4 linked regions of the Pelodiscus sinensis genome follow. The protein of the gene in region 1 purifies or fractionates together with the protein of each later gene. This does not show direct contact. Links are inferred from orthologs where the notes say so. Each region holds a gene or a part of one and is shown in the gene's direction. Other genes may lie near its edges.

The links.
Region 2: the proteins of MEPCE (region 1) and SRSF3 purify together in Homo sapiens (affinity purification with mass spectrometry; 3 studies listed by BioGRID and IntAct, with this or other methods). This does not show direct contact. The link is inferred for Pelodiscus sinensis from reciprocal best matches to the Homo sapiens genes MEPCE and SRSF3.
Region 3: the proteins of MEPCE (region 1) and SART3 purify together in Homo sapiens (affinity purification with mass spectrometry; 6 studies listed by BioGRID and IntAct, counting the BioPlex papers as one, with this or other methods). This does not show direct contact. The link is inferred for Pelodiscus sinensis from reciprocal best matches to the Homo sapiens genes MEPCE and SART3.
Region 4: the proteins of MEPCE (region 1) and LSM3 purify together in Homo sapiens (affinity purification with mass spectrometry; 3 studies listed by BioGRID and IntAct, with this or other methods). This does not show direct contact. The link is inferred for Pelodiscus sinensis from reciprocal best matches to the Homo sapiens genes MEPCE and LSM3.

What each region holds. Positions count from the first base shown.
Region 1 is NC_134734.1:8,771,504-8,779,067, reverse strand, and holds the start of MEPCE (7SK snRNA methylphosphate capping enzyme), read left to right. Parts: upstream 1-4,360; 5' UTR 4,361-4,656; coding exon 4,657-6,309; intron 6,310-7,564. UniProt on the Homo sapiens protein: S-adenosyl-L-methionine-dependent methyltransferase that adds a methylphosphate cap at the 5'-end of 7SK snRNA (7SK RNA), leading to stabilize it.
Region 2 is NC_134737.1:17,175,889-17,183,366, reverse strand, and holds the start of SRSF3 (serine/arginine-rich splicing factor 3), read left to right. Parts: upstream 1-4,265; coding exon 4,266-4,471; intron 4,472-5,979; coding exon 5,980-6,114; intron 6,115-7,478. UniProt on the Homo sapiens protein: Splicing factor, which binds the consensus motif 5'-C[ACU][AU]C[ACU][AC]C-3' within pre-mRNA and promotes specific exons inclusion during alternative splicing.
Region 3 is NC_134725.1:36,567,601-36,575,516, reverse strand, and holds the start of SART3 (spliceosome associated factor 3, U4/U6 recycling protein), read left to right. Parts: upstream 1-4,745; 5' UTR 4,746-5,255; coding exon 5,256-5,429; intron 5,430-7,773; coding exon 7,774-7,900; intron 7,901-7,916. Other genes in the region: iron-sulfur cluster assembly enzyme ISCU, read right to left, coding at 1-70, 813-923, 1,662-1,775, 2,847-2,945. UniProt on the Homo sapiens protein: U6 snRNP-binding protein that functions as a recycling factor of the splicing machinery. Promotes the initial reassembly of U4 and U6 snRNPs following their ejection from the spliceosome during its maturation.
Region 4 is NC_134721.1:22,035,067-22,043,204, reverse strand, and holds the start of LSM3 (U6 snRNA-associated Sm-like protein LSm3), read left to right. Parts: upstream 1-5,057; 5' UTR 5,058-5,195; coding exon 5,196-5,216; intron 5,217-7,753; coding exon 7,754-7,864; intron 7,865-8,138. Other genes in the region: XPC (DNA repair protein complementing XP-C cells), read right to left, coding at 918-1,122, 4,089-4,203. UniProt on the Homo sapiens protein: Plays a role in pre-mRNA splicing as component of the U4/U6-U5 tri-snRNP complex that is involved in spliceosome assembly, and as component of the precatalytic spliceosome (spliceosome B complex).

The sequences.
Region 1 (7,564 bases):
GCCAATTTGACCGATTCGGTCGAATCGGGCCCCGCATCCCTGAACCCGGAAGTGCCGGCGAGTTATAGAGCCGGGGGCCCTGCTCCACCAATATGTGGAGCTTGGTCTCTCCTCCAGCTCTGCCTGGAGCTGGCCCTGACCCGTCCCTGCCGTGTGCGGCTCCTCCTCGCCAGCTGCTGCTGCCCATGTGTGGCGTTACACATGGGCAGGGGGGATGCCTGGGCATGACATGATGTCACAGCCCGGGATTTTAAAACTCTTTGGAGGCACATTGCAGGCTGCCTCCGGGTTCAGCCTCCGGGGCCTGAGCGCGGCCTCCAGCCCCACAACGTGGAAGGCAGAAGGCAGGGAACAGGCTTGTGCGGCAGCGGCAGCGGCAGCGGCGGTGGCGGGGAAGGAGAGGAGAGGAGAGGAGGAGGCACCAGGAAAGGGAAGGGGCTTGGGCTTGGGCGGAGAGGGATGGAAGGAGAAGGGGCTTGGGAGGGGAAGACACCAAGGGACAGGGTGCAGTAGAGACAAATGCCAGGGGGCCAAGTGCAGACAATGAGGGAAAGGGCAGGAGGGGATGTGTCAGTGGGAGAGGGGACAGGGTGATTCTGGGAGAAGAAAAGAGAGGGGAAGGGCATTGGGGACTGGAGGGGGAGGTGCTGGGAGAAGGCTTGAAAGAAGGGGTGGTCATGAGAAAGGTGGGGATGGAGCAAGGCATGTGTGAGGGCACAGAGGGGCAGGAGGAGAATGGGGCAGAGAGTGGTGAGGGGGTGGGTATCAGGGAAAAAGGGGGCAGGGCCAGTAAAGGAAGGGGGAGGCACCAGGAGGGTGCAGGGCTAAGGGAAGGTGCAGGTGCCAGGGGATTCTGGAGTGAAACAAGCTGGTTACTTGGCAGAAGGGCAGACACCTGCAGAAGAGGGACCAGCACCAGAGGAGAGAGGCAGGACAGGTGTGTAGAGGGAGGTGTTAGAAGAGGGGTAGCTCACCTGATCAGAGTGGGGCTATTGGAGGAGTGGGCATAGGGGGGAGAGAAGGGCTGGTGGAGGGGGGCAGGTCGCAGGAGGGCTGAGGGCACTGAGAAGGGCAGGAGTCAGGACAGCAGAGGAGAGTGAGGAGTTGGGGGGCAGCAGGCACCAGGGGAGATGATGGAGCAAGGAGAGGAGACATGGCAGCAGAGAGAAAAGGTAAAGGTTTATAAAATATTTATTAATAACTTAGTATGCTGCCCACAGCCAGTTTGTTTGCGCCCCACGGTGCAGTTTGGGTTTATGTGGGGATCAACATGTGGCCGGCAAGTGGAATCCAAAACAAAAAAGTAGTCAGTGTAATGATCTTCTGTTGATATGTATTTTAGTAGTTAAATTCTTGGACTGTCATTGCTCATGAAAAGTGCTGTCATGTGGGTAGAAATCAGATAAATATTGAATTTGATTAATATCAGCAGAACTGACTTAAATGGGGCCTGTGTGTTGTGTAGTCTTGCCTTAATCTTTGTATTCATGCCTGTCAGTGTAAGAGAAGCTATTTGTATATATTTGCTTGCATTTGCAACCACACTTAAGTTGAGGCTCTCAGCATCAGTGTGGCCCCTGGGGCTTCCAAAGTTGAGTTGCCCTAGCTCATCCCTGACAGGTGTCTATCTAACCTGGTCTTAAATATCTCCAGTGATGGAGATTCCGCAATCTCACTAGGCCAGCGTTTCCCAAACAACGTGCTGCAGCCCAGTACCGGGGAGTGGGACTGACCCGGCCACATGTAGATCTCAGGGCGCTGCCCTCCTCGCCCCCCCCCATTCCCCCACAAAGCACGAGTTAGTCTGGACCAAGGATTCTATTCTCCCCTCCCTCCCTCTCCCCCACACACTCTCGAGTAATTGCGAACAGTCTGGCTGGTAGACACACTCATGCAGCCTGAGCACATTTACCAGCCAGACAGTTCGAAACTACAAACTGATATATCTAGCAATAATAAAACTTACCTAATGAGAAAATACCAGACATGTTATATGTCCGGTATTTTCTCAGTTTGTTTTTTATGTGTTTATATTTTTGGGCTGCAAAAAACTACTGAAAGAAAAGGGTTCCAACTAAAGTAAAAAGTTTGGGAAACCCTGATCTAACCATCTTTCTGTCTGTCTTACAGTTCATTCATCCAATCCATATTCCTTAACTTGCTGGCAAGAATACTGTGGGTGACCATATCAAGCTTTGCTAAAGCTGGCACTGGGGGTTTTGGGAGGACCAGAAACAACTTATTTGAATATTCATCATTTGATTAATGAATATGCAATATGCAAATGAACATTACCGGTCCTCCAAAAGTTCGTGAATGGATTTACTCGTCCCCTTCTCAAAAAGTTTGGGAACCCCTGTGTTAGAGGCAAGGAATTAGAGACCCTGTACATGAATGTTTGAGGATCTGTACCAGTATATTCTGGGGGCAATTTAAGCATTCCTACCCTGAAGTAATTTACTTGATGCTCATGGTGCATTTTTATTTGAAAACCAAACAAGCCCTTAATTACTCGGAAAGGCATACTGTATGGGACATTGAACACACAGACCCTGATTTAGCCAAGGAGTGCATAAAGCCTCACTGATATCTGACTTGTAAAGCGTAGATAATGCTGCTAGATCTTACATCAGTGTTATCAATTATGTTAAATGTGGTATTTAATACATAAAACTCTTAATAGGTACAGCTATTTATTAATCCACTGTCATACACATGGCATCAAGGAATTGTATACTGCATATTCACCTTTATCTATGTCCTTAACATTGTGTTACTTGGACACATAGATTTTTGGATAACCTAAGGCAAGTCACTTCCATCTCTCCCTGCCTCTACATTTCCTCTCATCCCTTGCCTGTCCTATCTATTTAGACTGTTAAACCTCTGGGACAGGGGATGTTTCTCACTATATAAGGACCAGGAGCTGTAGCCTTTGACCAGGCAGCTGTATTAAACCGGAAAGACCTGTTTTTCTACAGTTTGTTCCTTGTCCAGTATTCCAACAAAACCAGACATGGTTTTCTTGGGTATTGGATAGAGAGCGTGCCATTTTTAAGACATGGCTTGAGTGCATGTGGACCATGTGTCTGGTACCAGGCTGATGTGCACAGAGTCCCACCAGCAGGGACTGGACCTGCTTTTGCCAGGAGCATTGGGGTGTCTGGTTTGCCCAGTTGCCTGAAATAAAAGGATCATCTTCCAGCTCCACACCACTATGCAGACTGTTGTGAAGGTGCAGGAGACATATGGTCACTCAGGAGGAGGGGATAAGTGAAGGGTAAGAGGTGGAACAAGTCAAGAATCAGATCTCCTGGGCCAGAGGTGAAAGGTCATAAATTGGAACGAGAGGCTAGTTTGAGGGTAAAGTGCAAAAGTCAGAGGAAGGAGACTTCTGCGAGGTCAGAGGTCAGGCAGGGAAACACCCCATGACATCACTAAGGGTGGAGTGTCAGAGGTTGTAGTTCACTCAGTTAAGGGTGATCATGTTGTGACCAGTTTTTTCGTATGAGCTGGGGTTATAGGTCATGGCCCACAAATGGGGTGAAAGTTCAGGTCGGATGGGAACTACCCTCCTGTCCACCCCCTTTTATGTTTCTATAATGGGGGGGAGGGAAGAGCTAGGCGGGCAATTAGTTCTGCGCAGGCGCGGAGTCCGACACCGTGCTAGGGGGAAACTACCACTCCCAGCATGTCCGAAGAGGAGGACACGTGACCACTGTTAACTGCCTTTTGCCTGGGGGGGCTTCATGGGGAGGTGAACCCCCCCCACACGAACCCGTTTTGAATGCGCCGCTCACACGGGAAGGGGCTTCTCATTCTCGCCGGTGGCGTATACCCGCCACCGGGTGAATAGGTGGTCGGGTTCACCCCGACGGACTCAGTGCGCCGCTTAGGTGTCTACTTCAGTGCCTGAACCGGCACCAGATTCAATTCATTTCTACGCGCCCTGGGGAACTCTTTGTTACCCTGTTCTTGTCCCCAAAAGACCCGCTTGGCCATTTTAATAACCATTTACATGGGGCAACTCCCTCCGCAACAGGCGCTTTGCATAGACAGCTCTGGGGTCGAAGGCCTCCCCGTGCCGCCCAGGGGCCCATTGCAAAGGTTTCCGATTGGCCTCCACAGCTTTCGTTCCGATCTCTCATTGGCTGATGTCGGGGCCCGGGGACGGGTGGAAGGAAGAAGAGGAGGGGCTTTTCGCGCGCAGGGGCGACGTTAGCAAAGGGGGGATGTCCTTCGAACTTATTGGCCAACGTTCCACGTGGGCACGGAAAACAGTGCGTCCGCATTGGCCGACTTTCGACGGAGGGGGTGGAGCGTTAAGCTGTCCCGCCCTCCGGGTATATCAACCCCGGGCGGGGGGGGCCGACTTCCCATCGCGTCGGAGGTGGGAGACGTGAGACGCTGCTGTATTCTATCGAGCTTCGCGCGGGCGGGTGGGCCGCGCATGCGCTAGCAGGGGCGGGGCAGGCGGCCGAGCGCATGCGCCTTGGGGCCCTGCGCGGGGGGCGAAGGCCGAACGCAACGGCGGCTGCGCTGTGAGCGGGACGGGCGAGAAGGGCACATGCGCAGGCGGCGCCCGTCAGAGGCGGGCCGTTGAGCGGAGCCACTTGGAGGAGGGAGGCGGCGGCGGAGCTCAAGCCGCTCGCCCCGATGCAGGAGATGATCGAGATGGCGGCTGACAAGGAGACCTTCCTGGTCCCGACTCCGCCACCGCCCCTCAAGGCCCCGGCCGGAGCGGGCGGCCCCCTGGGGCAGCTGCACCAGGAGCTTGCCTCGGTGGAGTTACGCCAGGAGGCTGCCCCGGCCAATCCGCGCGGCGAAAGGGGCGGAGCCGTCGTGCGGCCGCACCAAGAGGCGGTCCCGGGCGGGCGCGGGGAAGGAGTGAGCCGCGGAGACGGCCCCCTCATGCAGCTGCACGAGGAGGCCTCCTCGGAGTCTCACCAAGGGGCCGCCCCATTGGGCCAGTGCAGGGGCGGAAGCGGCCCCCTGCCGCGGTCGCACCAGGAGAGCGCCCGGGTCGAGCTACACCCGAGGGCCGGTCCCAAGGAGGAAGATAGCGTGGGCGAGCTGCCCCGGCCTCGCAATGGCTTCCAGGCCCACCGGCCGCCCGGGGGTGGGGGCAAAAGGAGGAACAGCTGCAACGTGGGCGGTGGAGGCTTCAAGCACCCGGCCTCCAAGCGTCGCCGTCGGGTCAACTCCGAGTGCGACCCGGTTCTGCCCTCTGAGTTCCTGCTGGGGGGCAACATCTTCGACCCCCTGAATCTCAACAGTCTCCTGGATGAGGAAGTGAACCAGGCCCTCAATGCAGAGACCCCCAAGTCATCGCCGCTGCCTGCCAAGGGCCGCGATCCAGTGGAAATCCTCATCCCCAAGGACATTACGGACCCACTGAGTCTCAATGCCCAGGATAGCGATGCAGCCCTTGTGCTGGCTGCACCCTTCAAGTCGGGCCGAAAGCGCCACCGTCATCGGGGGCAGCAGCGGGGGGGTGGTGGTGGTGGTGGTGGTGGTGGTGGGGACTGCAAGCAGGCAACCTGCAAGTCATGTGGGGCCAATGGGGCCTGTCCCACCCCACAGCCCTATGAACTTAACACGGCCATCAACTGTAGAGATGAGGTGGTCTCTCCACTGCTCCCCCTCGCTGCAGAGCAGCAGCCAGGAGTGGGCTGTGTCACCCCCTCCTGTTCCTCTGGCAGCAGCCGCCACCGCAAGCGGCGCAGGACTTGCAGCAAATCGGAGGCAGCTGGGGGTGCCAAGCAGACGCTGCCTCCCCACACACTGGTGGCCAGCAAAGGTGGGGGCCAGGCAGGGAAGAGTAGCCCAGAAAAGGGGAAAGGCGCTGGGAGACAACAGGCACCCATGTCCAAGCGAAGGAGACAACACAGAAAATTCCAGTATGGCAACTACTGCAAATACTATGGCTACCGTAACCCCAACTGTGAGGATGGCCGGCTGCGGGTCATGAAGCCTGAATGGTTCCAGGGCAAAGAGGTGCTGGACTTGGGCTGCAACGTAGGGCACCTCACCCTCAGCATTGCCAAGAAGTGGAAACCTGCCCGGGTGGTGGGCCTGGACATTGATGGAGCCCTGATACACTCGGCCCGCCAGAACATTCGCCACTACCTGTCCGAAGAGATCCAGCAACGGCAGGAGGAAGAGGAGGGGGCAGAGGGAGCTGGCCCCAAGAGGAGAAGAAGCTGCTTCCCTGCCTCACTGACAGCTAGCAGGGGACCCATTGCTGCCCCCCGGGTGCCCCAGGACGGGGCAGCTGCTGACTTCCCTGACAACGTGATCTTTGTCCGGGTAAGAGGCCTGGCCTGGGTGGGAAAGGGGCTGCCAGGAGAAAATCCTTCCGGGCTGTAGCAGCCACCTACCTGGTTGCTTTCAGTGAGAGGTGGGGATTCACCCAACTGCCCATGTTTATACGGTGGTGCAAGACATGCCCCTGACAATCTGAGATGGGGGAGAGGAGGGGTTGTCTCCCATCCTATAGGTAGATAGCTCATCTCCTAGGCTGGCCAGTGGCTTAGATGGGAAAAGGCTGGTAGTATGGGGGGTTGTTTTTGGATAAGGGAACTGGATCCTTCTGGAATGGTTTCTCTGGCTGATAATAGGGTCTGTTTTGGGGAGATAAATGAGACACTCCATCTTGCTGGAGGGGGTGTGTGTGTAGGTGGCCACTATTCCTCATGCTTAGGAGTTCTATGTAACTGACAAGATGGTGCTACCTGGGGACAAAGGGGGATACCAGTTAAAAGGCTCAGTGCAGCTTCCCTCCGTAAAGCCCCTTGGGTGAGAGGATGCTGCATTGTGTCCCCTTAGTCAAAACACTTGTCCTCCTCCACACAAGCACAAGAGGGAGTGGAGATGCCTGTGACCTTGGTTAATTTGGTTCACGTCCTTGCCTCAGTTAACCTAAGAATGTGCTGGTGCCTCTTGCTCTGTAAAGCCTTGACATTGTGTGATGTCCAGAGCCCACTCTTGGATGAACTAAGTGCCAGTGGCAGCAAATGGGGTGGTGTGTGAGGAAATGCAGTAGCCAGCTGATCTGCTAGCCCAGAGGTGTGGAACCTTTTTTGGATTGGGGGAAATAACACCCAAAAAAACCTCATTGATATGGCCCCTGACTGGAAAGGAGAAAGCCGCTCCCCACATTCTCCTTGCACACCAGAGATTGAAGGGGCAAGCTAGTAGATTTTGTGTGCTCCAACCCCACAGGGGGAACAGTAGGGGGTGGGGTGCCTAGAGCACCAGTGCAAGCTCAGCAATGCTGGGGGAAGCCCTTTACCTCCCGGGCTAAACCTAGGCAAGCTGGGGGCTGCATCTGGCCCCCAGGCCTCAGGTTCCCCACCCCAGTGCTAGCCTAATGGAAGGTAGAAGTGGTGCGTGTGCGTGTGTGTGCATGCGTGTGCGCGCATGCATGCGCGCGCGCGCTGCAGGGTGTGTGGGATCTGAAAAGCTGAGCTGCCTGCAGACATGGCCTTGTTTTAGACCCCTGCGGAGATCTGGCTGGGACATTTCTTGAGGAGTAGCAGCTGTGTTGGGTGTCAGGATGAAG
Region 2 (7,478 bases), on another chromosome or scaffold:
GTCCAGTGAGACCCCCGACCCTGAGCTTACAATGGCCGTACTGGGACAGACCAAAGGTCCATCTAGCCCAGTAGCCTGTCTGTCGACAGCGACCAACACTAGGGACTCTGGAGGGGATGGACCGAAGACAATGACCAAGCCATTTGTCTCGTGCCATCCATCTCCAGCCTTCCAAAACAGAGGCCAGGGACACCATTTCTACCCCCTGGCTAATAGCACTCCATGGACCCAACCTCCATTACTTTATCTAACTTCTCTTTAAACTCTGTTCTAGTTCTAGCCTTCACAACCTCCTGCAGCAAGGAGTTCCACAGGTTGACTATTTGCTTTGTGAAGAAGAACTTTCTGTTATTAGTTTGAAGCCTGCTACCCATTCATTTCATTTGGTGTTCTCTAGTCCTTCTATTATGGGAACTAATGAAGAACTTTTCTTTATGCACCCTCTCCACACCACTCGTGCTTTTATAGACCTCTATCATATGCCCCCTCAGTCTCCCCTTTTCTAAACTGAAAAGTCCCAGTCTCTTTAGCCTCTCTTCATATGGGACCTGTTCCAAACCCCTAATCATTTAGGTTGCCCTCCCCTCTCCCAGCCTCTCTCTTCCCCTCTCCCACCTCCTTTTCCCAGTCTCCCCGAGTTTTGTTCAATAAAGAGAGTTTCTATTTTTGAATACATGTGTCCTTTATTTTGTACATCAGGAAGGGGGGCTAGGGAGGGGTAAGTGGAAGGAGGTGAGGGAGGTACGAGCCCCCAATGGGGAGGACTGGGGTGGCTCTGCAGGCTCCTCGGGGTGGAAGCTCTCCTGCAGCCCCCCCGGCTGACCCCTCCCCGGATGGCAACCTGCAGCAAGTGCAGCCGGGCTGATGGCCGAGTGCTGTGATGTGCCCAGTGTGGGCACTCAGGGCACTCCAAGCCAGGACTGCTTTGCAAGCGGGGAACCCCTGAGAACTGTCTGTCCGGGATGGAGGTCGGGTCCCTTTAAGCACAGCCCTTGGCTAGCCTGAGACAGCAGCTCCACGCTCTAAGTCAGTGGTCTCCAACATTTTTATACCCAAGATCACTTTTTAAATGACAGACCAAGCCAAGATCTACCGCCCCGTCCCTTCCTTGAAGCCCCGTTCTCTCTAGTCTCCTCCTCTCCATCACTTGCTATCCCCAATCCTTATACTGCTGCTTATTTTTTTTTATTATTATTACTATTCTAAAGGAAGAAGTTTTTCCAACATTTGGCCTGTCTACACTGGACCAAATGTCAGAAAAAAAACCCTTCTTTTGGAAGCCACCTTATTCCTTGGGGAAAGAGGAATATAGGGGTGACCAAAAGAGCCTGTTTGCTCTTCCACTAAAAAAGCGGAAGAACAAACGCAACCCTGGATGCAGAAGAGTTTTTCTGAGATATCTCCAGAATCCTGAAAAACTCCTGCAGTCTAGCCGGACCCCCGCTGGGTTGAGACAGGACGTGCAGTCTCTGCGGTGGGAATGAGGGATTTGGGTGTGGGAAGGGGTGAGAGGTACAAGCTCTGGGAGGAAATCTGGATGCAGGAGGAGGTGGAGAAGGGGACACTGGCTCGGGGAGGGGGCTCCAGGCTGGGCAGTGTTGGGATACTAAGCAAGCCACAGGCTTGTGGATGTGAATTTGGGTTGGGGTATGTGAGGGGCTGAGGGCATGAGGTTCCAGTGTTTGATAGGCTCAGATCTAGGGTCTGGGGAAGGGGGAGTGCAGGAGTGGTTGTGGCCAGATGGGGGTTTGGCCCCAATTGAGGGTTTGTTGGCCAGGCTTCATTTTTAAATAGAATACTATGTTAAACACAAAGGCTGTGTCTACACTGGGACACTTATTCCGGAAAATCAGCTGCTTTTCCGGAATAAGCTGCGAGTTGTCTACACTGGCCCTTGAATTTCCGGAAAAGCAACGACGCTCTACTGTACAAAATCAGCCGCTATTCTGGAAAAACTATTCTGCTCCTGCTCGGGCATAAGTCCTTATTCCGGAACACTGTTCTGGAAAAGGGCCAGTGTAGACAGCCCAGTAGTCTTTTCCAGAAAAAAGCCCCGATCGCAAAATGGCGATCGGGGCTCTTTTCCGGAAAAGCGCATCTACATTGGCCACAGACGCTTTTCCGGAAAAGGGGCTTTTCCGGAAAAGCAGCCTGCCAATGTAGACGCTCCTTTTCCGGAAAAACTGAAAACGGAATAGTATTCCGTCTTAAGCAGTTCCGGAAATTCATGCCAGTGTAGACACAGCCAAAAAGTTTCTGCATTGTCTTTATTTATGAGAATGGCAGGGAACCTGCCTTGAGTCAGGGGTCACTGACCCATAGAAAAGTCATTTGGGAGCAGGGGACACAGTACTGGGGAGGGGTGCTAGTGGGTTGTGGGACAGGGAACAGGGTGCCAGTGGGGGTAGGGGAGAGGGGGCAGGGTGCCAGGACAGGTTTCTGCAGCAGGGGACAGGGTGCTGGGGGGTCACTTCGCAGTACAGCTGTCTCCCATATTTGCTGCCCACCTACAGTCATTGCAGAATATAGTTATCCCTCCTATCAGACCCCTCCCTTTCCATGAAGCAAAATACAGGACTAGGTGGCACTTCAAAGACTAACAAGATGGTTTATTAGGCGATGAGCTTTCGTGGGCCAGACCCACTTCCTCAGATCGATATATGGAAGAAAACAGACACAACCATATATACCAAAGGATACAATTAAAAAAATGAACACACATGAAAAGGACAAATCACATTGCAGAACAGGAGGGGGATGGGGGGGGTGTGAGCTAATGGTGTTAGAGGTGATAACTGGGGAGGCTCGTTGTAATGGGTGAGATAATTAGCGTCTTTGTTGAGACCCCGGCGTAGTGTCACATTTTAGCATGAATGAGTCACGGGCTCTGAAAGCTGCACTTGGAGGGGATCCCCCGATCGTTTTAACTGTGCCCGTTGGTGTGTCCGTGACTGTTTGATCCGGGGAAGCGGGTCCGGCCACGGGAGCTCCTCCCCCAATGAACCATCCCGTGAGTCCGGCCCCGCCCCGCCCGGCTGCCCCAGGCCGCTCCCTGCCCGCGCTCCGGACACCGCCCCTCGCAGGGCTGTTCCCGGCCCGACCCGCGAGTCCGGCCCCCGCCCCCCGCGGCTCCCGCCAGGCCCGTCCCGCGGCAGCGACGAGCCTTTAGCGCCGCCCTCGCGGCCCGGCACCGGCCCCAGGCAGCGGCGAGCGCGGCGCTTCCCGCGGGCCCTGGGGCGCCCCGGGACGGGCCTGGCGCGGGAAGGCCAATCAGGCAGCGAGGGGGCGGGTCCGTGACCTGTCACTCCCGTGCGAGGCGCGCTCTGATTTGACGGTGGCTGGCGACGGGAGGGGGCGGAGGGGCTATATAAGGCCGGGCGGGGGAGGCGGCTGCCGCCATTTTGTCCAGTCAGGAGAAGCGGAGCGGGAGCCTGCTCGGGACCGAGTCGGCTGCGGCGTAGCGCGTGCTCCCTTCTCGCAGCCCCGTCCGCCCCGGGAATCGGTGAGGGCCGAGCCGGGGCTCAGGGCGGGGCCCGGCTGCGCGCGGGGAGGGGCGCCGGGCGGCCTCAGGCGCCGGACAAAGAGCCGCCGCCATTTTGTGCGGTGGGGCCCGGGCGCGGCCGCCCAGCCCGCAGGCGGCGGGGGCCCTGGGGGGCAGCGAGGCCCTGGCGATGGGGCGCGGCGAGGCCGGGCCCGGGGGGGGCGCGAGGTTCCCGCGCGGGGCGCGTCCCCCGGAGCCCCCGGCTCATGGCGGGCCCGCGCGCGCGGCGAGTGCCCGGGGGAGGGGCAGGCTGGTGGCTCGCGCCGGCCTAGGCCTGGGGGCGCCTCGTGCGGGGCGGGCCGCAGGGCAGCGCGCGCCGCGCTCCGAACAATGGCGCCCTCGGCGCGCGCGCGGCGCCCCCTGCAGGTCTTGGCTGCCACCGTCCCAGGCCCGCCGGGGAGACGCGGGGGGCGGGGCCGCGGGGCGGGGCGCGCGGGTTAACGCGCGAGCGAAGGGTCCGACTGTCGCTGCGACGCCCCTTACCTCTCGGGTCCGCGCGCCAGCGGGCTGCGGGCATCTGCGCCCCGGCCCTGGGTTTGCAGGTCTCTGGGGTCTCAGGACGCAGCAATGCCGCCTGACGGGGTGAGATGAGGAGAGACTTGCACATCCAGGCCTAGCATCTGCGCGTTTCAGTGCAGGCAGCAGCCTAACCGCCGAGGGAAATACTGCAGTTGTAGGCCGAGGGAATCTGCTTTTTAAACTTACTGGGCTTTCTTTCCTAGTGATGCATCGGGACTCTTGTCCACTGGACTGCAAGGTTTATGTAGGTAACCTTGGAAACAATGGCAACAAAACTGAATTGGAACGAGCTTTTGGCTACTATGGACCACTGCGCAGTGTGTGGGTTGCTAGAAATCCTCCTGGCTTTGCTTTTGTTGAATTTGAAGATCCCCGAGATGCTGCTGATGCAGTAAGAGAACTAGATGGAAGGTAAAATTTGTTAATTAGACTATGCACTTAATTTAATTACAATGATTAAGCAATTTGTATTCACACTTAAATTAACCAAGATCCAGTAATATCATGGCATTGAGATTAACTAGCCATTCAGTTGTTGAATTACTTGCCCACTAATTCAAATTTATAAACCAGAATAACTCTTAATTAAGGTTGCTAACTATGTAAATAGACTTTTTTGTGGTTAATCTCAATATTTGATATTCTTGGTAATTGAAGTCAAATTGAGACCCCTTTGCTGGGTGTAATGTAGGCTGGGATGATTTTTCTATCTATAGTGGCAGTGCCTTAGCAGTAGGTGCATTTACACCAGCAAAGTGTAGTTCTTTTGCTTCTGTACTTTTTCATTTGGGGGATCTGGTATAGGAAATGTTTTGTTGGGATAAGATGTCTCTACGTAAGTGGATTTGCTGGTATGCTGGCAAACACTTTCTAGGATAGACTTGGCCTGAGATTGAAAATTCCAAATACCTGGTAATACATCTAGAAGTACTTTGAGAGCCTCTAGAATTCAGAAGAGTTGGATTCCACCTGTACCTGGTATGTGGAGTATCAGAGATGGACAATAAGTCAACATTTCACAAGGAACTTTTAATTCTTGTGAAACAAAACATGAAATAGTAGTATTCATAAAACGTTTCAGAAGTGTATTTATTACTTCAGTGGAGCTAAGTTTAGTGTCTCTGAACACAGCTTTTTAATTTCGAAGTGGAAGAGATAAGGATAGCTGAATGTTAAATAGCTCTTTTAAAGTGATATTAAAATTTTGTTTTGACTACCAGCTAGATTTAAAGTATTAACCAGCTGAGCAATCTATCCTGATTTTGCTACAACCGAGTATGGGCTTTTCACTAAACTTATTCAACTGTGACTTCCATTAAATTATAGTTGTGATAAATGCTATAATTTCATTTTAGTCACATTTTCTAGTTACTCTCCTTGTAAAATAAATATTCTACATAGAGAGGAGATGCAGGATTTTTCACTCAAATGGTATTGGAGAAGCCAGAGTTCTAGGGTATACTGTAAAATTTATTTTAACCATTAGTCTTGACATAGGACAGCAATGCTGTTAAGGTATAAAGCTGCAGGTGTTCACTAAAATTGAGCTTTGAGTTTCCAGCTTTACATGAGAGAGAAAGCTACATAGTTAATGAAGTTAAATCTACAAAATTCATCCCCAGGAAACGCTTGGGTAGATTCTGTGCTTTCTTGGTGTTAAGTAACTAGACAGGAGAGGCTTGGGTCACTTTGAATCTGACTTCTTTATATTGTGTGCATTTGTTTAGATACATAGGTTCCTTCCATCTCCAACAAGTGTTTGTCTAACCTGCACTTAGTGGAATCTCCATCTGAGATTATCTCCCTAGCAATTTTTCAGTGCTATATGTACACAATGTTTTCTTTTCCAGTGCGTGCCAGTATGTCTTCAGAGCAGACCGATTTATTGCTTAGAGTATTAACTGTAACTTTTTTCCCAGAACTCTCTGCGGGTGCCGAGTCAGGGTGGAGCTGTCCAATGGTGAAAAACGGAGTCGTAACCGTGGTCCGCCGCCATCCTGGGGTAGGCGTCCTCGAGATGATTATCGCAGAAGAAGTCCTCCTCCTCGCCGCAGGTACCCTAGGTCAAAGACAGTGCATAGAGCTGTTGAATTGTTGTCATTTAGCACCATAGAAGCAGGCTTTCTTTAAAGCATGTTCATGGGTAACATCTTAAACATCCTGATCACAATTTGGAGATGCCAGACATTTTATATAAAATCAAGAGAACATAAATTGTATTGAACATTGGCTTTTGTCTGTAAGTCACTGTAAGTTGATAGCCAGCACCCTCTGCCTTGGACTTATCCTTTCTCTTCCTAAAATCTGCACATCTTGTAGTCGCTTTCTTCCCATACATCTACTTAGGTTGTTCCCTTTCTTTTACTCCATAATGACAAACATTACATTCAGCAACTTAACTTTTCCATGCAAATGCATTTCTCCCCTTTAACAATTCAAATATTTGCCTTGAAGGCAGCTGTTTAATTATGTTAAAACAAGTAACAGTTGCATTTAAATGTACAAATCTAATTTAACCCTAGTAAAGAGTTTAAAACCTCTTGTGACAGTATCTGTCATTTGAGTTTTGCAAACCCAAGCCTAAAATATAGCAGGGTTTTTTTGGTAACTACCTACTTTCTTGGATCTGGACTAACGTGTCTGAATGTGTTAGAACTCTGCACGTCTCAGCCTACAACATGGTTCATACAGGACTGAATTTAACTATTGCCAGGTGAGTGAAGTTCTCACAGGATAAGTTTGAAACCATGTCCCTTTTGCTAATAAAAAACCCACAATAGGAGTATGTTAGCTGCTAGATGGTTGTACTGATGGCTTGTTTTTCATTTTTTTATGCTTTTTGGTCCATCTATTAATAAAAATGAACCCGTTACAGAGTCACCATCATGTCTCTTCTCACCACCCTCTGAGTCTGCATTAGCCAGTCAACTAGCCCTTTCAGCGTCATGTGACCAGCGCGCCCCATTCTGCTTGGCTGGTGTCGTTTCACATGACCCAGGCATGGCCAGTCGTCAGGTTGCACCGCCCTTTGGTTCCCGAGCATGCTGTTTTCTCTCAGCCTTCTCTCCAACCTTAACCAAATCGGCAGCAGCCACCTCGACCGCCCACACATTCCCGGCCAATCAGCTCAGCTGTTTATTTACCAAATGTCTTCACAACAACTACAGCAGCAGCCTTCGGCTAACAAAAAAGCAGGAAAAATCCACAACACCCCCTTCGCCAACCAACTAAATACAACGCAACATCTGGCAAAACCTTTTCAGCAAATTCTTCTTGGCAGTCAGTCCGGCAGCCTCACCTCACCATTTCTAGCTTGTTGAAACCAAAAACTAGTAAGTTTTTCCTGCTTATACAGTTTACTGCTGGTTAAAATAAGGAGTAAGCGGCTTATAAGTAATTATTTTTCTCAATCAAAGGC
Region 3 (7,916 bases), on another chromosome or scaffold:
GGAGTTTAACTGGAGGAAGACAGAGTTCTCTAGCAATATCAGTATTTCTGATCTTCAAGGCTTCGTCAACCTGAAATTTATAAACCTATTAATACAGGATTATGGCTGCTAGTCATCAATCACCTGAGGTGGTCATCTTGAGCCACAGATTTGTGAAAGACGTGTTTTGAGGACTAACCTTCAGGATGGGGTTGTGAGAGAAACATACAAAGAATTATTTTGGTATGCTTACTGATAGTGCAAAAGCATTTTAAAAGGGTTGTGTATAAACAAATTGCTCTGACCACCCTATCAACATCTTTCCCATTCTCCTTCCATCCCAAGATACCAGACGTAAGCAAAAAATTTTCATATGAACAGCTTCTGACAAACAAAGGCTAGGGACACCCTTCCTACCTATCCTGGCTAATAAATATTGAGGGATATATCCTCCATGAATTTAACTAGTTCTTTTTTGAACCCTGTTAAAGACTTGGTCTTCACAATATCCTCTGTCAGGAAAATATGCATAAATTATTTCTGGCTATGTAGGCCAAAGCCACTTTGAAAATTAAGCTATCAAAGTAAGGTCTGCTTTTCTAGAAATGGAAATTAAGATTAGTAAACTAGATCACATTTCATTGACAGGGATGAAATATTTTTAACCTGCTTCATTGTAGAAAAAATTCACACTAGGTAAAACGGAAACTTCATACTATGCTTCTCATGGTTCCACATATAGCCTCTAATAATGAATGGTGTAGCATTAATAGCGATTTATGCTGCTAGTTTTTGTGTAATATGCTCTTTCACAGATGTGAAGTCAGTTTTACCGTTTTTCCTTTAATCCATTCTGTGGCCAATGAGCTTGAGGCAATTGCTGATCCACAGCCAAATGTTTTGAATCTTGCATCAACAATTTTTCCATTTTTATCTACTTCAACCTGCAAGAATTCCAATGACATTGATTTGGTATATAATATTTGTGTTATATATTTGGTTACATAACATTCTTGTGGTACTATAACTGAAGAGGACTCAGCTTGATAATGATTTGATTTCAACCTATTCACAGAAATCAAGGCAAAGTATCCTTCACATTGGTATCCATGGTAGCAGAATAGGACCTAAGAGTAAGGCAAGGAATACTGTAAAACATTTACATTTTAGTTCTAGAAACGGAAAGTCATTTTACTAGTGGTTTAAGACAGCAGTTACAAGTAGACTTTAATGGACATCATCCACTTAAGGTCTACTTTTGTTTCAAAAGGTGAGTTAAATGTAGTCTTCAGAGCTGACACCTGCCTCTAAATCCTCCTGATATTCTTGTTGATTTTCACCAGAACATTTTAACAGTGGATAACATGACAATGTATGGGAAACAATCAGATATATAAATGAAATAGAGGCTCTTTTATATTTTTTATTTTACCACCTGTAATACCATTAAATCAGAATTATCCACCAGAAGTTTCATGTGAAGGCAGTTCTCATTTAAGACTAATATGTTCATATTCTGTAACTTTTCATTTTGTAAAGTTACTTGCATGTCCTCTCTTTTTTTCTGGCAAACAGCTTATATGATTGTCAACATAACCAGCGTGGTCAGTTCATAATATTCAATATACTAGAGATCTCTCAGTGAACACAGAAATAATCATGTTTGTTATTTGATAACTCACCTGTAATTTCATCACATCTCCACAGGCAGGGGCACCCACTAATCCAGTGCCAACGTTCTTTGCACTCTTATCAAGGGAGCCCACGTTTCTAGGATTTTCGTAGTGATCCACTACCTAAAAGGGAATTTTATTGGCAAGGATTATGGTATCTACAGTCCCTGTCTAGGAAAGCGCTCACAACGTCTGTGCAGTTTAAAACATACTGCAAGAAAGCCCAGTGCATGGCACGGCTGAGAACCTCCCCAACGCTGCCCCAGCTTCAAGGGCATGGGAGTCCATAAGCCCCCTAGTCCCACAATAGCCAGACCTCCTTCTCCTTTCCCAGTCCCAAGTTTCCCACACAACTCCCAGGATCCCATCCTCTTCTTCACCCCTGCCAAGTTCTTTCCTCCCAATCCCTCTCTGCTCTACCTCCCCTCCATGCTGATCTCACAACCAACAACCTCCTGCCCCAATGCTGCCCCCACCCCTCCCCCCTCTCTACTCCCCCCCGCCCCCAATGCTGCCCCCACCCCTCCCCCTCTCTACTCCCCCCCGCCCCCAATGCTGCCCCACCCCTCCCCCCTGTCTACTCCCCCCGCCCCCAATGCTGCCCCCACCCCTCCCCCCTCTCTACTCCCCCCCGCCCCCAATGCTGCCCCCACCCCTCCCCCCTCTCTACTCCCCCCCGCCCCCAATGCTGCCCCCACCCCTCCCCCCTCTCTACTCCCCCCCGCCCCCAATGCTGCCCCCACCCCTCCCCCTCTCTACTCCCCCCCGCCCCCAATGCTGCCCCCACCCCTCCCCCTCTCTACTCCCCCCTGCCCCAATGCTGCCCCCACCCCTCCCCCCCTCTACTCCCCCGCCCCCAATGCTGCCCCCACCCCTCCCCCCTCTACTCCCCCGCCCCCAATGCTGCCCCCACCCCTCCCCCCTCTCTACTCCCCCGCCCCCAATGCTGCCCCCACCCCTCCCCCCTCTCTACTCCCCCGCCCCCAATGCTGCCCCCACCCCTCTCTACTCCCCTCCCCCCTCTCTACTCCCCCCCGCCCCCATCCCTCTCTACTCCCCTCCCCCCTCTCTACTCCCCCCCGCCCCCATCGCTGCTGTCAGCCTCTTGCCCCCTCACGCCCCGCCCCTAAGGACTCACATCTCGCCTACAAGGCCCCCCCCGCCCCCAGTGCTGCTCCCGGCCCCCTCACTGACCTTCTTGTGATACCCCGCGGCGGGGCCTGCCAACCCCCCGGGCCCGGGTCTCAGCAGCGCAGCGGCAGCCCAGCCCCCCGTCAGCCTCAGCGCCGCCATCTTCTCTCGGCAGCGGGCAGCGCGAGATGTCCCGCCCTGTCCCCGCGCACTGTTAGGAGCGCGTCGCGTCACGCCCCCCACGTGACCCGCACGTGTCCTGGCCCCGCCCCCTCGCGAGGGGCAAAGGGCAGTGACTTGCGGGGCTCAAAGAGCAGCAGCTAGAAGGCGCGTGTCCGGCCCCTCCCCCCTGTGGTATCCAACCCGGCCGGTCACGTGTCTGCTGGTGCCGGCGGGGGCCGCGCAGCGCCGCGTGCAGCAGGGCGCGCCCCCAGGACATGTTTACGGCGCTTTGCATCCTTTTGCTCTGCGCTTGGGAAATGGACCCTCCACGCCTGCTCGGCATCGCTGCCCCGGGAGAGCTGCCCAGGCCTGAGCGAGCCAATAGCCGGGTCTGGATGAACCCGAGTATTGCCCGGCAGAAACCAACCCAGGCTTAACCAACAGCTGTTCTGTGCCTGGGCCCGGTGCACATTGTGCACACACCCACTTGCCTAGGGGAGCAACAAGCCATCCAAGCGGGGAAGACCCAGCCCACTGAGATATGTGTTTATGCCTTCCAGGCTTATTGCAATCAGTGGAACTCCTTGCTAGAGCAAATTGTGAAGATCAGGGTTCAAAAAAGGACTCTTGTACATTTCAAAAGCAGAAGTGCCAGGAGTGGGAACTGGTATGCTTCTGTTTCCATCCCACAGTGGAGACATGGTGGTGGGAACCTAATTGGTTCTTCCCAGCACAGGCTCCTGCTCCCTTCCACCTAATAGTTGACTAGTTGCTTAGGCTAGTCACTTACATCTCTAAAGCCAACTGTGTTTTGCACCATGTTCAGAACCATTTACAGGACTCACCTAACAGCTGGCTGACAGATGATCCACTCTCGGGCTGTGTCTAGACTGGCCAGTTTTTCTGGAAAATCAGTTGCTTTTCTGGAAAAACTTGCCTGCTGTCTACACTGGCCGCTTGAATTTCCGCAAAAGCACTGATTTCCTACTGTAAGAAATCAGCGTTTTTTGCGGAAATACTATGCTGCTCCCATTCGGGCAAAAGTCCCTTTTGTGCAAAACTTTTGCACAAAAGGGCCAGTGTAGACAGCTGAGATTTGTTTTGCGCAAAAAAGCCCTGATCGCGAAAATGATGATTGGGGCTTTTTTGCAGAAAAGTGTGTCTAGATTGGCCACGGACGCTTTTCCGCAAAAAGTGCTTTTGCGGAAAAGTGTCCGTGCCAATCTAGACGCTCTGTGCCGAAAATGCTTTTAACGGAAAACTTTTCTGTTAAAAACATTTCCGGAAAATCATGCCAGTCTAGACGTAGCCAGGCAGTTTATCCAAAGCCTGAATTTGTCCTATACAGTGTTGTAGTTTGACAATTAGCTAGTCAGGATTCCAGACCAGAGAGCTAATAATAGTCTTGCTCTGTTGTGATCAGTACTTGGTTTCTCATTTGGCTTCTGAGGGAATGAGTTCTAATGGGGGGGGGGGGGGGGGGAGAGAAGAGGTGCAAGTTTTTTTATTCATATTCCCATTTGCATATTTCCAGACCTTGCTGCCTTAGGATGCTTTACAGTTTTATCAAATATTTAGACAGCATCCTGAACACTGAGGTTGGACAGGTCAGAGGGAGTTTTGCAAATATCTGTTTTAATTTCTTGTGCAAGGTCACCAGAAAGAGGTAAGAGGGATGGAGGGGTGGACTTTGCAAATACATTTCACCATATTTAATTCCCATGCCATATCCCATTCTCTAGTGATGCAGCTACGGGAACTTTATAAAGACGAGAATATTTAATTTCTTATGCACTAGCCCCTGCACCATCCATGATACACGTACATCGTGTACTGAATGTCCAGTTATTACAATGGCTCTCATCCTGCTATGGTTGTGGGAGGATGAGCGGGGACGCAGCAACAAGACCCGAGCCATTTTGCTATGGACAGAGGTGCTCAAAGCCCAAGCAAGCCTTTGAGCCTGCGTACAGAAGAGTTGCCACACACAATATGGCGGCCAAGCCTGGGTCCTTCCCCTACCGACAAGCCCTGGCCAGGGGGACCTCCTTCAGGGCCCCGACATGCCCAGGAGGACCTCAGCAGCCCACGCAGGTGCCTGTAAGAATCCATCACGAGAAGGCCGTGACTCCCTAATCGGAAACAGCCGTTGCTGCAGAGCTGAGTACAGCGAGCTCCACCCGGGCCTTCAATCTTCTTGTCGGGGGTGCGTTCAGCATCTGCGCGGGGACGGGCGAGTCAGGCGCGCCAGCGGCAGCCCCGCGGCTTGGCCGAGGTCGGCAGGCAGTGCGCAGCGCGTAGCTGCACAAGATGGCGGAGGCGGCGGCAGCCGGGCCCGAAGAGACGGCGGCAGTAGCGGCGGCGGCGGAGGAAGAGCGGCGGCCGGAGGAGCAGGGCGGGGACGAGAGCGACTCGGGCTCGTCGGCGGATGGCGAGGACGAGGAGAAGGAGAACGAAGCCGAGATCCAGCGGCTGGAGGAGCAGGTGGGGATCGCGGCCCGGTGCTCGTGGGCACGCGGGGGGAGGGGGCGGGGCGCGAGCCGGGTGCGCCCGCGAAGCCCGTTGCCTCGCGCGTGGAGCCGCCCTCAGCCCTGCCTCGGCCGGCGGGGTCACCCTCGGTTCGGTCCCCGCAGCGCGCGGGGAGGGGGAGGCGGCTCCGCGGCTGCGGCTCGGGGTGTGCAGGAGGGAAGCGCCGCCCTGGGGGCTCTGCGAGTAGCGCCCAGGCCAGAGCATCGGGCCCTCATCCTTGGGGGGTGTGAGCATCCAGACTGGGGGCTAGTCACTGCTCAGCAGGAGCCCCCACGCTTTCTGTAGGGTGCACAGAAGAACAGAATCCTTCTCTGCCCTTGCTTATCGCTGCTTGCCTTCATCTGTTAGGAGCTATAGGCCAGGGATTGTCTGTGTGTGCACAGGAAGCAGAGTTGCATTTTGTGGGGGCTAGGGCCGTACACATCATTAATATTGATAGAGCAAAGGAATCAATAGGTGATGGAGTCTGTATCGTGGCCCCCCCATTAAATGTTGGAGCACAATTAACATGTGAAGAAAGGGAGAGATTTTTGGAACTAGTGGATTAAAGAGAATAAGGAACATGTGATAGTATAGATGGGTGAACTTTTAGGTGTGGGGAATTCACACCCATTCATTCTGTAGTGTTAATCCAGGATTGTATAATTCTGCTGTCTGTTGTAAAATATCAAGAAATCCTTTCTGTTTGTTTATAGTCTCAAATTCTTTGAACACACAGTGGAACAAGGGATGTTAAAAATCGTGTAATAGGGTAACTGTGAAACTGCTAAAAATCTTAGTGGCTACATGTGCTACTGGTTCAGCAGTACTGTAGAGCCTTCAGTGAAGCTGCCTACCTCGCTTGGGAGGAGGAAGAGAGCTGCTTGTCCTCCCTGGGAAGGAAACTTCTCTTCCCTACTGCAGTGAAACCACCTCCCCCTGGAATTGGTTGAGTGTAATCTGTACCATTAACTGATAAGCATCAGCTGATTGGTTAAACAGTTAATCAGTTAAACCCTAATATTGCTAACAAATTCAAAGTTTCATAATCATGTGTAATGTATGTACATTATACTATTCATAAACTATGTGTGGTTTCTGTTCGAGAATTGAAATATGTACCTTTTTTAGCTGTCTTGGTACACAACCCTTTCAGTTGGAGACACTTTCAGAATTTCTACAGAAATGTGCTCTTCGCTTTTAATTTCAGCATGGTAATTATGAAAATGTTATATCTTTATGAAATAGTTCTGTTGTGTAATTCTTTGGTGTTTTAATTGCTATGGCAAACTGGAATAGTGCTAACTTCAGAGGGTTTTCTCTATGCACTGATTACTGAAATAATTGATGGTTGCAACCAGGAATAGAACTTCTTGAGGACTAATATAATTGGAAAGCATGCGTGTCTGTTGTTGAAATGAACTGCAAGGTGGACCATGCAGTAACAAATGTTTTTCTGAGCTTGACGTACATTGAGAATAGGGAGGCAGAACCTTAATTAGAAAAGAACTTCGATCTTTTCACATCTCAGAAACTACTATTTTATCTTGAGAACTGCTTATGTTTGCTATTTCCAGTTATTAGATGGGAAGCTAACATTTTTTGGATATTTATATTAGTTTACTGGAGCAAATTCTCCGTTTTTGTACAGTGTTATTGAAAAGTGGGATCTACTGCAATTTGGATACAAACCATCAGTTTTACCACTAAAATGATGATTAGACAAATGTGCACAACTGCTTAGTGAGATTTAGGCACCTGCTTATTATGCTTATCACCTGAGGATCCACATTATTAAACAGTGGCTTCTAGCTCCAAGGGCTCAGTTCAGTCACCTGCCAAAATAGAATCTTTCATTTTGTACCCTCAGTGGGCTTTGAAAACAATGAAACATTGCACAACCTTTATGCAGACTGGTGAAAGGCGTGTATTATTTTCACTTCACATTGAGCAGTCTGGGGGTAGGTCTACACTAGCACTTTGACTGGTGTATTTTATGTTGCTCGGGGTGTGAACAAACCACTCCCTGAGCAATGTAAATTACGCCAACATAAGAACCATTGTGAACTGCTCTATGTTGTTAAGAGATCTTCTCCAGCTGCCACTTGTTGGGGTGGATTAATTGGAGAGCTCTCTCCAGTCCACTGAGAGCAGCTCCACTAGAGAGCTTACAGTTGCACTGCTGTAAGCTCTATAGTGTAGCCATTACCTGAGACACTGAAGGAATTGATGGCACAGTCCAAAATAGAACTCTGAAGTTCTACCCTAGTAACCAATTGCTGGATATACTCTCTTACATTTCTTCATCTCCTTTTTAAAGCTTTCCATCAATGCATTTGACTATAACTGTCACTTGGACCTAATAAAACTGCTTCGCCAGGAAGGAGAGCTGGTAAAGCTTAGAAGAGCCCGCCAGAAGATGAGTGAACTCTTTCCCCTGACTGAAGGTACAGGATTACTTTA
Region 4 (8,138 bases), on another chromosome or scaffold:
TGTATTAAAAATAGCAGATACAAAGCCTTATAATATTTTACAAGCGAAACCACAAGTGCAGATAATGTATCTCTCTGTATGTATGAAGTATAACATCCCTGCCATAAAAAGAGGCAGAACAGTAAAAATGGGGAAAGAGTCTTCTTAGTGCAGTATGTAACATTAGGTCCCCATTCTGCAAGGATCTCCATGGAGATATCCATACCCTTAAATGATCCCAATTAAATTAATGGGGATCTACATAGATACAGAGTTTGTCTATATACAACGTTTTGCAAGATCGGGGCCTTACAGAATTCATATTCTGAACTGTTAATCTTGCTGAAGCCTCATCAGTATAAAGAAAAGGAATTAGAAGTGTGTTTCTTTTGCAATTTAGTAAAATGTGTTCATGTTGGCCAGTGAAATGACATTTTATTTCCTGCTATTAGTGCATGGAAAAGCTTCTACATTTTTAAATACAAATGTCAAAGAATCACAGAAATTTAGGACTGGCGGGGACTTCTTCAGATCCCCTGCACACAAAGCAGGATTATTTCTTTTGTTGCAATTTAAGCCCATTTCTTCTTGTCCTACTTTACATTCCTCCACACTACCTTCATTTAAAGACAAACAAATCTAAAATTTGGCCTAAATAACTCGATAACTTCCATATAAAAATACAATTATTTGCACTATATAAAACTTGGAAACATTTTAAATATTAGCTTTCCACCAAGATTAAATTCCAGTGGCCTGATCCTGCAAATAACTATGCCCCTGAAATAATTATGCTCAAGTGCATAGTTCCAACTGAGATTATGAGCATGACTAAAGGAACCTGGATGTATTTACAAAACTGGGTTTTAACTAAACACATTTAACAAAAAATATAATATTGTTCCAGACTGTTATGCTGATGCTGTAAATTAACTTACCTGCACATTTCCCCTTTAAGATTCCCTTCATTTTTCACAGCTATGTTATTTTCCTCCTTCACTGTTGACTTTGCTCCTTTTTGCCTTGAAGATCTACCTGGCAGGCTATGAATTCCAGTGTCACAATCTTTTTTCTTCTTTTTATTTCCAGCAGGAACTTTTGAGAGACATTTCTTCAGACTGAGCTTTTCTCCTTCAAAATTATCTGTATTAGATCAGAGGGGAAGGAGATATGTCAAAAAGTGAAACCATAGCTCCACAGAACTCAGTCAATAAAAAAAAAAAAAAAAAAAAAAAAAAAAAAAACTCTCAACAACTTCAATAGAGCTAGCATATCACTCACAGGCTGCAGAGGAAAATGCAGGTTTTGCATTTTCCTCTGCAGCCTGTGAACATATTGAACATATTGTCCTAGAAAATAATTTTCACAAATATGCAGCATTAAGCAAAAAGTGCATTTGAAGCAAAACCATCATGGAAATTTCACAGCCCCAAATAAACAAAATGGATAATATCTGCCCTTATCAATAATGGTGGATGAAAAATAAATATTCTACTCACCTACAGCCAGAGTTACTTTTCCCAGACAAGTGGAATTTTGCAAGACTGATTTAAATCACCTCTTTTATGAGGATTCTCTCTCAACAATAGCAAGATGCTTTCCTCATCACACCTGGATCAAACCACTGTGCCCGTTGCAATGGGTACATTAAGTGCATATGAGATTAGAATGATGGGCAGAATTCCCTAATGAAATGTGCAAAGTTTTCCTCCTTTCTAGAATATGGCATGGTTTGACAGAATTGGTATCCATTATATAGGAAAAGTTATTTTAAATGTAAGAAGTTTCAACGTGACTTTGTAAGGAAAAAAATGCCACTTATCTAATTCAATATGGGTTATTCAATATTCCTGGGAGGCTGCTGGTGTCCAACCTAACATACAGATTGTTCCTGGAAACACTCACAAACAAGATCAGTCTATTCATGCAGGTAGCTCCACTGAAGTCAATGCATGAGTGATGGAGCTAGTTGCATAAAGTTGCTTAAGTGTTTGCAGAATCAGGGCTACGACCACAATGCATTCTTGGTCAGTATAGTAGAGAAGGGCAGCAGACGTAATTTTGAAGGAGCTGATTTTTTTCCAAAGCTGCATTTCGTCATTTACTAGCTGAATACTCCTCTGCTTGTGACTATGTCTGACATTCAGCTCATTACTTAATAATGATCCCATTTTGGAGAAACTTTTGCAGGTCACTTTTAAGATGTTTTTATTTTCTAATAAGCAGTGATTATCTGTTGTAAACATACAGCTCCTGGAAGCCTGAGAGAAGCAAGAAAAGTGGAGAGAGATTTCTGATGTTATAGTCTTATGATTTTTATGCCAATCCCCATACATTCCAGGGGGTCTGAGTCACATTTTTGAACATCTGGGTCTGGCAATACTGCATTTATTGCTGGACATTCACAATGGGCCCAATTCTGAAAGCAGTAATATTGGTTCAAATCCAATGAATTTTTTAAAAAGCAACTTTGAGAGAAAATGTACTAAGGAGAGTGGTTTTCGTACTTTAAATATTTGTTTTAAAAAGGCACTAATATTGTGAATTGATCCATGACACCACACTCTTAGGCCCTAATGGCCTCCAGTCTTTAAAAGGGTTTTGCATATACACAAGGGACATTAACGTATACATATGGGGAGCTAGGGGAAGCTCCTGCATGCATGTAAATGTGTAACAGCTGAATTTTTCAGTGGTTACATGTTTACATAAACAAACACATTTTAACATCCCTAATGAAGAGTTCAACAGAATTCAATCAAGGCCTACAATGACTCTAAAACCATTATTTCTTGAATGGTGTGTTTTTGAGAGGCCTGATTTCCTGAGGCCTTCACTTTCATTGACCAGGAGTTAAGCATTTTGCAAGATCAAATCCAATACAGCAGATAAAGCAGTTAAAAAAAACCACATCACTCTGAAAATGTAGCATTTCATAGGGCTTCTTCTAAATTAAGGAATGAAACAGACTGCTTGAAAGTCACACCACATCATCTTCAACAACTATGTGAAATCTAGAGATAAATACTAAATGAAGATGTGGTGACAGAAATACTAACTATAAGCCTCAATGTTAGATGAACAAGAAATACAGAATTAGGATTTAAGATTATATTGTGTTCCCTTCAGTTAGCCTTTTCCACAAACACATATACAATCAAATTCTACCATTATTTGCATTAAGAATGACCTGAATTCCATGCTTATATTTTACATAAATAATACCCTAAAGATATGCTGAAATTACATGTATTTATTAAAGCTGCCAGCAGTACTCTATCCAGAACCTTTATTTTTCTTAGCTTCATCAAATCATTTGATCCTCCCTCTTTCATTGTAACAAAGGAAATGTTTAGAAATTGTGGATTGTTTCCTGACAGCACTAGAAACTTCTCTCAAGAGAAAACTATTTTGCTTATGTAACATTGAAATGTTGACTGTAATGGGGCTGGAAAAAAAAGCTAAATCAGTCATGATCACATTATACAGTATAAGGGACAACAGATCAGCAGATGGAGTTAAACACCACAAAGAACACTACACTATTTAGTGGCTATGCAAAGAGATTGTGGTTTAAAAGGATTTCATCTGCTGTTTAATATTTCAAAAGCTTTATTTTAGTAAGCTCAAAACCAGCAAATAACTGAGACAAGAACAATTCTAAATAAATGTTTCATTTAAACAAATCCTATAAAAACCCTACAGAAAAAATGTCACAAAATAAATACAGCTATAAATAAACAATATCAGAGAAGTTTGATTTATTCTTCACAGTCTACTGTAATTAGAAATGCACATTGGACAGTAGGCTAGAGGATTGCGTTTAAATGAGAGGAGAGTCTAACAAGACAAGTGAGATTTTAAATGTCCCATTGAAATATGTAGCAAAAATCCTTTATCAGCACAGAGGAATGATTTAAAAGTCATTTTAAAGTAATTCCAAATGAGCATGTTATGTGAAGGGGAAATATTCCTCCAAATGAATTTTCCACCCCCAATCTGCCATCTAAGTTCCAGGGGCTGCTTCTCTTTGATAGTATATTCTCCATGATGCTTATGCAACTGCTCGCAACAGGGTCTGGCTCAAGAAAGTCTTCGTCTACACTCACCCTCTCCTTCTTGCCTGAGAGTTTGGAGGGCCCTGGTGGCTGCTGCAGCAGGCTCTGCCTTGAATTTCTTGCTGCTAGCCTCTTGCTGCAAGGAACCTTTGCGCTTCTTGGCCATGCTGTTTCCTCAAGGCAAGGGGGGCAACCACAGACTGGTGAGGGACACAAAGCAAACCCAGCGGAGATGAAGGCAGCCTCCTTCTCTGGGTGAGGCCTTTGCACGCTCTCCCCACCTCCGAAGCGTACGTGCACCCTGAGCCCTCCTCCTCCTCCTGGAGCTGCAGGAAGGCTCTGGGGAGGCTGGGCTAGCACAGCCGGCTCCTGCCTCAGTCTCCTCCTCCTGCCTGACGTCTCTTCCGTCCCGGCCGGCCGAGAGGCAGTCCGCAAGGGCGGCGGATAGCGCCCGTGGCTGCCGTTTGTGCAGAGCTGCCTGGGCGCTGCAAAGGCCTGTTGGGCAGTGATCACCAATGGCCCCTTCTTGGCCGGGGCTGCTCCCAGCGTGCCCCCGAAGCCCAGCCTGGGCTCACGCCGTCCTCAGTTCATGCCCCGGGGGGTGCCTGCGGGCCGGGGCTGGAGCTGTACTCCGCCCCCACTGTACGCCAGTCCGGGGGCACCGCTGCACTCGGCACGGGCCTTAGGCCGGCTCTCGCGCCCACGGAGCCATTGCCCATTAATTCCTAAGGAGCCCGGGCGGGTGCCTCAGTTTCCCCATCTGTAACAACATGGGGCACCTGCGTTCGCTTTCCTTCGCCACGCCGGGGGGGGGGGGGGAGCTGACGAGCACATCGACAAGCCCCCCCGGTAACGGAAAGGTGGGGGGAGGGAACTGAGGCACAGCTAGGCCCTGTGACCGCAATGGGGAGACGCGGAGGCACAGCCGGGGCCAAATCCGCAGACCAGCGGGGGAACCACGTGGCACGAGCCCGAGCGGTCCGCAGCCGCACACCGCGCCTGCTCCGCCAAGCCCCGCCCCCACCACCCAGCCTGAGCAACGCACCGGCCGCTCTAGCCTCCCTTGGAGGCCGCCCCCCCACGCCAACCGTGACGTCGCCACCCGCCGTTTCTACGCGCCGGCGTCGCGCGGGAAGAGGCGGGGCTCGCGTTTGAAAGATGGCGGACGAGGTGGACCAGGTGAGCGGCTTTTCCTCTCCTCGCCGTTCGGAGCCCGCGCGAGCCCGGGGGGGGAGGGGCGCTTCGGTTCTCCCCTTGCCCTGGGATCCCTCCCGTCTGGTTGCCGTTGCTCTCCGTAGCAGGGACGGTTGATGAACGGGGCTGGATGCGCGAGCGCCTGTGGGGTCTCTCCCTCTTGACTCCCCAGTTTCCCATGTCCCGGCCCTTCCCAACTTGCCGCTCACAGTGTAGCGGAACGGCGGCCCTCCAGCAAAGACACGCTGCATACGGCTCCCTCCATAGCGCGCCCCTCCCCGCCCCTGAGCCCCAGCTCAGCCCATGGGGGCTTGAGCAAGCGTGACCGGAGATGCTTCCGTTTTCCTGGTCTGCCGAACTAAGGCAGAGCAGGCAAAGGGTTAGGGTTTCAGAAAGCTGCAGCCTTTGACTTGAGACGGACTCCATAGTCCCCTGTGGAGCAGCAAATCTTTAACCTCTCAGTACTGCAGCTTACATCAAAACGTTTCCTTCTGTTTCAGTCTTCATTAGGTTGATCTTTGCCGTTAATTGCGTGATTGAAAAACATCGAACATCTCTGTGGTCTTAGTGTCATTTCAGTGCTGGTTTCAGTCTCCTGGAGCCTCAGTATTGGCAGTGCTCTTATCAAGCTTAAGAGATGTATGATTTTGTTATGTTTTGTACTTCTACTGCAGTCTGATTTGTTGAAAGTGAAGCTGAAGAAGTAATGGGGAAGGAATATAAAATACTGGAAAAATTTAAAAAACAACAAATAGTCTAGCAGCACCTTAAAGACTAACAAAACATGTAGATGGTATTAAGGATATTTAAATTGTGGTTAATTGACTAGTCAATAGAACTTCCATCAACTACTCAACTAGCCGATAGGCACTTCTGCATTCTTCCTTTGAAATGTACAAGAGCCCGCTTGGGGCTGCACCCAGTGTGCCTTCTTTGAAATGTACAAGAGTCCCCAGTGGGGGCTCTTGTGCATTTCAAAGCCGTGGAACCCAGGGTCACGGGGAGACTCCCCAGTTGACCCCAGGTTCAGTGCAGCATTTCAGCAGAACCCGAGACAGCTGATCCCGAGATCAGCTGGGGAATCCAGCTGAAACATGGTGGCGGTGTTTCAAAGGGGCAGCACTGCACAGCTGATCCTCAGTTCAGCTGTGCAGCACTGCCACTTTGAAGTACCCCTTCTTCTCCTTCCCTTTGCTGCCTCTGTGATAGAGGTAACAAGTGGAGGTGAATCGGCTAGTTGACTGACTAATCGATAAGCATTTGCTTATCGGATAGTTGACTAGTCCCTAACATCCTTAGAAGGTATCATGAGCTTTTGTGGGTACAACCCACTTCTTCAGATGAATGGAATATACCATTCATTGTGCCCAGGAAAGCTCATGATACCATCTACATGTTGTGTTAGTCTTTAAGGTGCTGCTAGACTATTCGTTGTTTTTTAAGTTTTTCCAGTTACAGACTAACTCAGCTACCTCTCTGAAGCTTATAAAATACTGGATACTTACTCCAGAGATCCCAATGCATTATCCCTTTGGGGCAACGGACCACTATTTCGTACTGTTTTCGCAATGCTGAGTATAGTGGGGCTGAGGACTAGAGCGCTAGGTCAGCAATGGGCAACCAATAATAGTGATTTTCATGAGTTGGACCTCCTTCATCTCAGTGGGCAGTATGACTAGTGGTCTGCAGCCTGCTGGGGTTCCACTTGTGGCCTGCACACCCCCTGTTTGCTCCCATTACCCATGCACCCCTCGCACACTGGGACCCTGTAACCCTGCATTTCCTACTCTTTCCCCTCCCTCCCAGCACTTTTGGAGCACCACAAATCACCTGATTCGCACTCCTTCCCTGCTACTCCGCTCCAGCGTTCGCAACTGTTCAAGCTCTGAGGGAGAGGAGTGAGAATGGGGCATAAATCAGGTGATTTGTGGTGCTCTGAATGGGCTGGGAGGGAAGGAAAGGAGTTGAAAGTGCAGGGCCCAAGTGCACAAGAGGCGTGTGGGGGAAGGAGGCAGACAAAGGGTCTGCGATCCACAGTTGGAGCCCCATTGGACTGCATGTGGGATGTAGGTTGCCCACTTCTGTTCTAGGTGCTACAGTACTACAAATAATTTTCCACCAATGAGAACAGCATAATCAATGGCAGTGTAAACTTCTTTACATCCTTGCCAAAGTATCTCAGACTTGACCATGTGAGCTCAATTTGGAGGATGTAAGCTATATTTTGTACCCTTTCTGTTCAGACTTCTGGCCTGTCCACTAAAATTGTCAATAGAGGGTACCAGTTGTGATAATAGTACTGTCCTCTAGGAAGTTAACTGAAATTTATGTCATTTCATACAGGCCACAATATGCTCATTCTATGATAATGATTTTTGGTTTCTACCAGGTTGGGCTGGACCCAATAACTGACCTGAAAGTGAAAGGTACCTTTATCCTATACGTGAAAGAGACTGACCGGTTTTGAACATAAAATTTTTGAGGCTTTTGTATATCGCAAAAACTGCTGTCTGTATTTTTAGCAACAAACAACAAATACTGTAGAGGAGCCACTGGATCTGATCAGACTCAGTCTAGATGAACGAATCTATGTGAAAATGAGGAATGATCGAGAACTTCGAGGCAGATTACATGTAAGTAAAACACTGCAGAAAGATTTAGTACTAGTATACTTTTAACCATTGAAAGGTACATCTAAAAGCCCAGGCAAATTATACGCTTGGGCTACGTCTAGACTGGCATGATTTTCCGGAAATGCTTTTAACGGAAAAGTTTTCCGTTAAAAGCATTTTCGGAAAAGAGCGTCTAGATTGGCATGGACGCTTTTCCGCAAAAGCATCCATGGCTAATCTAGACGCGCTTTTGCGCAAAAAAGCCCCGCTCGCCATTTTCGCGATCGGGGCTTTT